Linked DNA regions of Rattus norvegicus. The protein of the gene in region 2 interacts with the protein of the main gene of each other region in a biochemical or structural test. Links are inferred from orthologs where the notes say so. Each region holds a gene or a part of one and is shown on either strand. Other genes may lie near its edges. The genes, in order: Cops6 and Cops7a.

Region 1 (3,913 bases), on a different chromosome or scaffold from region 2:
GAAGACAGTGGCATAGGGCATAGGCCTCCCGCAGGATCTCATGGTTGAAGGGAACCTCTCCTAAGGGCACAATGAGGCTGCACTGATGTGGATGTTGTCACTTCTCCAGGAGGGAGGAAAGATGGTTAAAGGTGAGGTACCTCTCCTACCTGCTTCAGAGGCCTTGACGTACTCTAAAATGAGCTTCACACGGCTGTGCAGCATCTTGATGGCGCTGTGCTGAGCTATGAGGTGTTCAGCCACTGCAGGGGGACAGGACAAATGAAAGGTAGCAAGTGGCCACACCCAACCCATACCTCCAAAGAACTGAATTCAACCCCCTTACCAGTGGAGTTCTCCCCACTGCCTGTAGCTGTCATCCGGGCCACATGGTCTACACCGATACGTTCAGCTTCCTCAGTGGCCAGAGTGTAAGTGAGTTCAGCAAACAGCATTGTGGCCTGCAGAGTAAAGGGTTCTCAGCAAGGAAACAGGGCTGGGCAGACGGCTCAGTGGGTAGAGCGCTTGCTGCACGAGACTAAGGATCAAGATGTGGCAGCATGTGTCTATAATCCCAGAACTTCTACAGCAAAATGGGAAGTGAAGACAAATCCCAGAAGCTCACAGGTCAACCAGCCTGGCAAACACGAGATTCTGTCTCCAGGTAGAAAGCTACGACAAACACCCAGGGTTGCCCCATGCCTGTGCACATGTGCACAGCATTTAGGAGACAGGCTAAAGCAGGATTTGAAGATTGCAGGGTAACTATTACCTCTCCATTGATTATATCGATGACAGACTCAAAAACGCTGACAGGCAGCTGTAAAAACAGACGGAGACAAGAGAACAGCTCTTACTAGAAGCAAATGCACTTGAACTTGCCAGGCTGGTTTTGAACTCACAATTCTCTTGCCTCAATCTCCTGAGTGCTAAAATTGATTACAAGTGTTGTTGCCACACTTAGCTCACAATTTTCTCTCTACTGGAGTAAGTTTTACCCACATTACATATGGCGACACCACTGAAGAGATGAAGTTACACAACTGATGGGCGTAAGTAAACAGCAGCGTGGAGATTCAACTCAAGCGTTCTCTAATACACATGATGTCACAGAGTAAATCAGAGCAGAGGCATATAGGGGCAGATGATCAAGACAAAGGGGTCATAGGGTCAACAATACTCACATCTGTGTGCTTGGTCATAGGGTTCAACTTCAGAAAGAGAGGACTCTCAATTATCTCGCAAACCTAGAAGACAAAGCCCAAAAAAAGTCAGTATCTCTTCTTCCCATAACCTTCTGTTCTCTTCCCCAACATGCACACATGTGAGCTTTTATACCTGCTTATGGACGTGGATGTCTGAGGGGTCAGGTGGCCCCCCTGTGGTATACCAACCCAAAAACTCCAGCTCCTTGAAAACCTGTTTAACTGGAGAAGAAGGGGCCAGAGTAAATATTTCTTTAAACCTCTCTTCCTGAGTTTGATGGACCTGGTGTGTTTCCTTACCGGCTTTTCCCTTCCTCCCTCCCTCAAATTTTGGGTCAGTTTAGCATAACTATACCTTTCTATTCTAAATACAAAACAAAAATCTCCCCACTTCTCCTTCCCGCCCACTTCTATTCCCTTCTCACACTGCTCCTCCTTGGTGTAATAATATTCTTTGTCAATGATAATCTTCTTTTCCACGGTGTGAGACAGCAGCTCAAAGGAGTTCATCACTTCGATATTTCGCCCCTCCTGCTTCCCGATCAGAGCCCCAATCACTAAGGAGAGAGAAGCAGAAGTGCAAGGAAAATAGGTGAGGTTCAAGCATCGAAAACCTTTCCCGAGACTCTGAAGTCAGTGTGTATTAATGACTGGGGAAACAGTAATTTGGAAAAGGGGGCGGGGGGAGGGACTGGAGGAGATCTCCAAGAGGAGATCTCCAAGAGGAAATTTTGAGATTTACACACAACACTCACCCTGCATAGGCCGCCCCTCCTGGGAGCGCATGCGGATCCAATGGTCTGAGATGTTGAGGATGACAAGGGGATGAAGAGCGACGGAAACACTCCCAGTCACTCCGGAGGCCATCACGCTGGGGACTGTTAAAAGTGAAAGAAAAACATAGCGGGTGAGAGTTCGGGCCCACACATTCTCCCCTAGACATGGGAGCAGAGGACCGGTAGAGCCGGGCCGTTCATCCCTGCCCTCAAGTTATCCTGGGAGAGATGTCGCTTCTCCCGGGCTTAAGAAGTACTCAAGACACTCCGCAAGGGCGACTCCAGAAGTCGTTCCCTGCACCCCGTTACCTGCTGCATCCACCTCCATGCCGCTGCTGCCTCCGCTCCCGTTCGCCGCCGCCGCCGCCGCCGCCGCAGCCGCCGCCGCCGCCGCCGCCATTTTCCCCGCGCCCGCCAGCCACGGCCCGCCCCTTTCCATCTCGGCTTCCGTCGGCGAGCGGCGCATGCTCAGTGTGTACTCTGTGTTGCTAATGGGCGGGGCGTCTGCCAGTACTTGGTAGCCCATGGTTCTCAGTGTGTTGTGTTGTGTTGTGTTGTGTTGTGTTGTGTTGTGTTGTGTTGTGTTGTGTTGTGTTGTGTTGTGTTGTGTTGTGTTGTGTTGTGTTGTGTTGTGTTGCTGCTACCGGTTCTCATGAAAACCGGCCTGGCCATGAGTTCTGTATTGTGTATCTAAGAATGACTTTGAACTTTTGGTCTCTTGCCTTTACCTCCCAAGTAGGGCTGTTAGTTTCCAGGTCTCAAAGGGGATACTTTGTCAATACTAGACGCAGAGAAAATTGCGATCAAAAAGAGGAAACGCTGTAATTTATTAAGGATATAACATTTTTCACGTTGCATATAATCTATAGTGACATGGTCACTTGTTTGTTGAACTGCGGTCTAACCGTGTTGCCCAGCTGGCTGGGAACTTGCTATTCATCTAGGCTGAGTTCAAACTCAAAGAGATCTACCTGCCTCTACTTCCTGAGTGCTGAGATTCAAGGTGTGCAGCGTGCCCAGCCTGCCTTGTTTTTAAAACGGTGAGCAGGGGGGCTGGAGAGATGGCTCAGTGGTTGAGAGCACTGACTGCTCTTCCAGAGGTCCTGAGTTCAATTCCCAGCAACCACATGGTGGCTTACAACCATCTGTAATGAGATCTGATGCCCTCTTCTGGTGGGTCTGAAGGCAGCAACAGTGTACTCATATAAAACAAATAAATAAAAATATTGAAACGGTGAACTGAGGATCTAAAGTCGGTTCCTAACACTTACAAAGCAAGCACTTTATCCCCCGAGCCGTCTCCCCAGTGGATTACTCCAACTGTTCAGCTGCTTCTTCAGTTGCAAGGCAACTTGATTCTACACAACCTAGTGACTGCTACTGGGAAGGCTTGTGGCCCATGCCTTTAATCCTCGCACTTAGCGAGGCAGAGACAGGCAGATTTCTTGAGTTCAAGGCCAGCCTGGCCAACAAAGTGAATTCCATCACAGCCAAGGTTACACAAACTCTCACAATATAGGGGTTGGGGGAGAGTTGCCTTGGTCATGGTGTCTCTTTACTGCAATAGAACAGTGATTAAGACAAGTATGTTTCCCACTTGGATCAATAACTGAGGCTAAGCAACCTCCTTTAATAGTCAAGAAAAAGGGACTGGAGAGATGGCTCAGCAGTTAAGAGCACTGACTGCTCTTCCAGAGGTCCTGAGTTCAAATCCCAGCAACCACATGGTGGCTCACAACCATCTATAATGAGATCTGATGCCCTCTTCTGGTGTGTCTGAAGACAGATATGGTGTACTTGTAATATGTAATAGATAAATCTTTAAAAAAAAAAAAAAGTCAAGAAAGAGCATTTGGCCCACAGTCATTCATTTGGGGCCAATAACAGCCTGTTTTTCTTCCTTCCTTCCTTTCTTTCTTTTTTTCTTTCTTTTTTAACCAATCATAGTCATGG
Region 2 (3,913 bases):
TTTTTTTTTTTTTTGGTTCTTTTTTTCGGAGCTGGGGACCGAACCCAGGGCCTTGCGCTTCCTAGGTAAGCGCTCTACCACTGAGCTAAATCCCCAGCCCCAACAATGTTTTAACAAGGCTATAGACCCAGCATCTGCTAGCCTCCAAGGACCCAGAGCTGTGGCCTTCGAAGTAAGTTACTGATAAATTGCTGACTTGTATTGTTTTATCCATTTATCCGATCTCTTTCACTGGAACACAAGCTGGAAATGCTCCTTCTACCTCATCTTAAGGACATACTTTAGTTCACTGTAGAGAAAATCAGGGACAAAAGCCAGTTTCTTGTGAAACAGCAGTCCCAAAAAACATTCTATCCTCTGATTCCACCACGGGTCTTCTAATGCCTGGCTCAGTCTAGCCACACACTACTGTCACTCTCATGACAGGCTGGTGTCCCAGGATTGGCCATCCATCTGCTCTATACTTTTAACGTTCTTTTTTTCTTTTTTTTTTTCTTTTTTTTTTTTTTTCCGGAGCTGGGGACCGAACCCAGGGCCTTGCGCTTCCTAGGCAAGCGCTCTACCACTGAGCTAAATTCCCAACCCCACTTTTAACGTTCTTGACTCAGCCATTTCCCTGAATGTTCTCGTCACTGTGTTCATAGCAGTTTGCCACTGTCTTAGGGAAGACAGCATCTTCACCATCTACCTGGGGGTGGGGTAGGGGTGGGGGTGGGATTTACCATGGCATAACTCAAATGCCCATTCTCTCTGATTTTAGGAGACTCCAGACTTTCCCACAGTTACTACTGTAACTGTGAAGGGAAGTGCTTTTTTTCTTATTATCATTTACTTTATGTATATGTATACACTGTAGCTGTCTTCAGACACACCAGAAGAGGGCATCAGACCCCATTACAGATGGTTGTGAGCCACCTTGTGGTTGATGGAAATTGAACTCAGGACCTCTGGAAGAGCAGTCAGTGCTCTTAACCGCTGAGCCATCTCTCCAGCCCAGGTAGTGTTTTTTTCGGTTTTTCCCTCATTGGAGTTGTGAGAACTGTACCTATACTGAGCCATGCATACGACAAACAAGGGCTCTTTCACTGAGTACATCCCTACTCCTTTTTTGAGATGGGGTCTAAGTTGCAGAGGCTGGTCTAAAATTTGTGGTGCCCTACCTTAGCATCCCAAGTTCTGAAATGGAAGCCAAGGCCTCACAAATGCTAGGCAACCACTCTATCAGCTGTTTCAAGGTTCTCATCACCATTTTTTAAGGGAAAACTGAGACTTAATTAGGTTTTTCTGATCCAGGTGACAAGATTTGTTGTTTTGTTTTTAAGACACGGTTTCTCTGTGTAACAGGGGCTGTCCTGGAACTCAAGTCTGTAGACCAAGCTGGCCTCTAACTCAGAGATCCACCTGTTTCTACCTCCCAAATGATGGTGACAGGATTATTAAGAGGTATCAATAGGCACAAATCTTCAATCCCAGCACTCCGGAGGTGGATCTCTGAGTTGAACACACAGAGAGTTCCAGAACACAAGTTATAGTACACAGAGAAACCCTGTCTCGAAAAACAACAACATCAATAACAACAGTAAAGATATCATACTGGTGGACGAGCTGGCATTTATGAGTGGTATTGTGTATGACATGTTCTTTTGTTTAAAAATTTAAAATCTGTGTTTCCTTCAGCAGCACATATACTAAAACTAGAACGATCCAGAGAAGATTAGCATGGTCCCTGGGCAAAGATGACCTCAAATTTATAAAGCGTTCCACATTTTTAAATAAAAAAAAAATTTTTTTTTTAACTTCTGCATGAGGCATAGTCAAGAAGATTCTCAAGCATTCAAGGCCAGCCCAGATGACGATTACCAGTTTAGTGCAGCCAGGACTACGCAGTGAAACCCTGACTGAAATTGTGGGTACAGAGGAAGGGAGCAGTAAGTTTACAGACCCCTTTTCTGTAAGAGATACAGGAAATGAAGACCTTTTTTTGACTGCTTACTTTTCCAAGCTGACATCTAATTATCAATACCCTGTTCACCTGAGTGGCTATTGGTTACAAAATGAGCCCACCATTCTCAAGGAAACTTTGGTCCCGAGGTTCTTTTTGAATTACCCAGGCAAGCAACACACCTCTCTAACATTAGGCATATCCAGCAGTTCCCCAAACACGTAGACACCAGGGGCCTCCAGCACCTGGTGGATGAGTGTGGCCAGTGCTGCCCCCTTAGCCGACTTGGCAAGGAGCAGAAATTGCTCCTGGTTCTGCCCTGTCACCTTCACCTCCGCACTCATGGCTGCACCCTGGTGCGGGGCTCTGGCCTCAAGTTTTCTGGAGCTGCAAGGAAAGAGGAACGTAAAACTAAAGGTCCCTGAACCACGTGAGGGTGGTCAGCTCAAGGGTGGGGAACTGCACTCAAGAGGTACCACGTCACTTCTGCAGTGTGCAATTAGGTCAAGAAGTCTAAAAGCCAACTCTAGGGTTCCTTAAAGTCGGCCACATCCTGGCTGCCACGCCCACCCTCTCCTCCATCGGGGCAGTCCCAAGCCCCACCACGTGCATCCCATTGAGTTCCAGGACAGATGAGGAAGGGAGGGAAGAGGTGGCACATGGTGTCTACCCCAACGACGACGAACTCCCAGCTCTAAACTCGTGTCTTGCACGTGTCCTCAACCACGTGACCTCACCTTTTCGATCCTCACTCGTGGCTCCACCCCCTCCCTTAAAGAGGCAGCCCCGGGTCCGCGAATCTGTGCCCAAGGCCGGGTCGTACCCTGGGACAGACTGCGACCGACCGCTACCTGGAAGCCTCGTCTTCCAGCGCGCGGGGCGGGGCGGCCGCTCCGTCACCTCCGGCAGCGGCTCCCAGCCTTTCCTGCCACCTCCCCGCAGGGTCGCTCTAGCCACGCGCTTCTATGGCCAGTTTCCGGCCGCACTTCCGCTCTCGAGAGGCGGGTTCCGGCCGGCTATGGCCTGCTTCCGTTTCCCGACCGAAGGAGGTGAGAGAGCGACACCTAGCTTCCGCTCTGTCGATAAAGCTTTATTGGTGCGGGAGCGGTGGATGCCGGGTGTAGAGAAAATCCTGGCTCCGTGGAGGTCCTGGGTAGATGAACCGCCCGGTAGCTGCAGGAGAGGGGAGGAGGGCAGCGCCAAGTTCCTCCGGCCGCATGAGCGTTAGTGGAAGACGAGAAGATGCAGAAACTAAAAATAGGAGACAAACATGGCTAGAGTTTCAACGGTAGATAATTTAGGTAGTTCAACCACTCATGTTTTTCAAAGAGCAGAATAAAAAGTAGACAAACGTGGCTAGAATTCAACGGTAGATAATTTAGGTAGTTCAACCACTCATGTTTTTTAAAGAGCAGAATAAAAGTTTAAAATGCAAGGGGGCAGGGAGTGGTGACCCACACCGCTTCCCTGTGTTTTGGAAATAGAGGTAGGATCGGGAGTTCAAAACCAGCCCCAGGGGGTTGGGGATTTAGCTCAGTGGTAGAGCGCTTGCCTAGGAAGCGCAAGGGCCTGGGTTCAGTTCCCAGCTCCGGAAAAAAAAGAATCAAAAAAAAAAAAAAAAAAAAAAACGAAGCAAAAAATACATAGCAAATACCAAGCCAGTCTGGGCTACTTGAGAACCGGTCTGGAAAAAACAAAACAAACCCCCAAATGATTAAGGGGAAAGGGAAGTGTATTGGTCAGGCTTTTGAGGTTTTCTTCCGTTGGAATTTCAGACCACGTGACCAGACTTTTGGCCGATTAAAACCAGAAGGATTACTACACCTAATCGTTCTGGTTTTAATACTTGAATCTCAACAGGAGAAAAGTGTAAGTAGAACCTAGGCAGGTGAGGAAATTTAAAAGTTAAAGGATTCAGCTGGTTATTTGTAATCCCAACAGCCAGGAGACTGAGGCAGGAGGATTGCTATT

The links.
Region 1: the proteins of Cops7a (region 2) and Cops6 form a complex in vitro, tested with the Homo sapiens proteins (3 studies listed by BioGRID, with this or other methods). The link is inferred for Rattus norvegicus from reciprocal best matches to the Homo sapiens genes COPS7A and COPS6.

The regions. Positions count from the first base shown.
Region 1 is NC_086030.1:22,151,176-22,155,088, reverse strand, and holds the start of Cops6 (COP9 signalosome complex subunit 6), read right to left. Parts: upstream 2,402-3,913; 5' UTR 2,400-2,401; coding exon 2,270-2,399; intron 2,063-2,269; coding exon 1,940-2,062; intron 1,742-1,939; coding exon 1,610-1,741; intron 1,407-1,609; coding exon 1,318-1,406; intron 1,227-1,317; coding exon 1,164-1,226; intron 800-1,163; coding exon 752-799; intron 441-751; coding exon 326-440; intron 243-325; coding exon 150-242; intron 61-149; coding exon 1-60. UniProt on the Homo sapiens protein: Component of the COP9 signalosome complex (CSN), a complex involved in various cellular and developmental processes.
Region 2 is NC_086022.1:159,457,373-159,461,285, forward strand, and holds the start of Cops7a (COP9 signalosome complex subunit 7a), read right to left. Parts: upstream 2,802-3,913; 5' UTR 2,680-2,801; intron 2,659-2,679; exon of another isoform or gene 2,560-2,658; coding exon of another isoform or gene 2,546-2,559; intron 2,330-2,545; coding exon of another isoform or gene 2,287-2,329; coding exon 2,125-2,286; intron 1,771-2,124; exon of another isoform or gene 1,665-1,770; intron 1-1,664.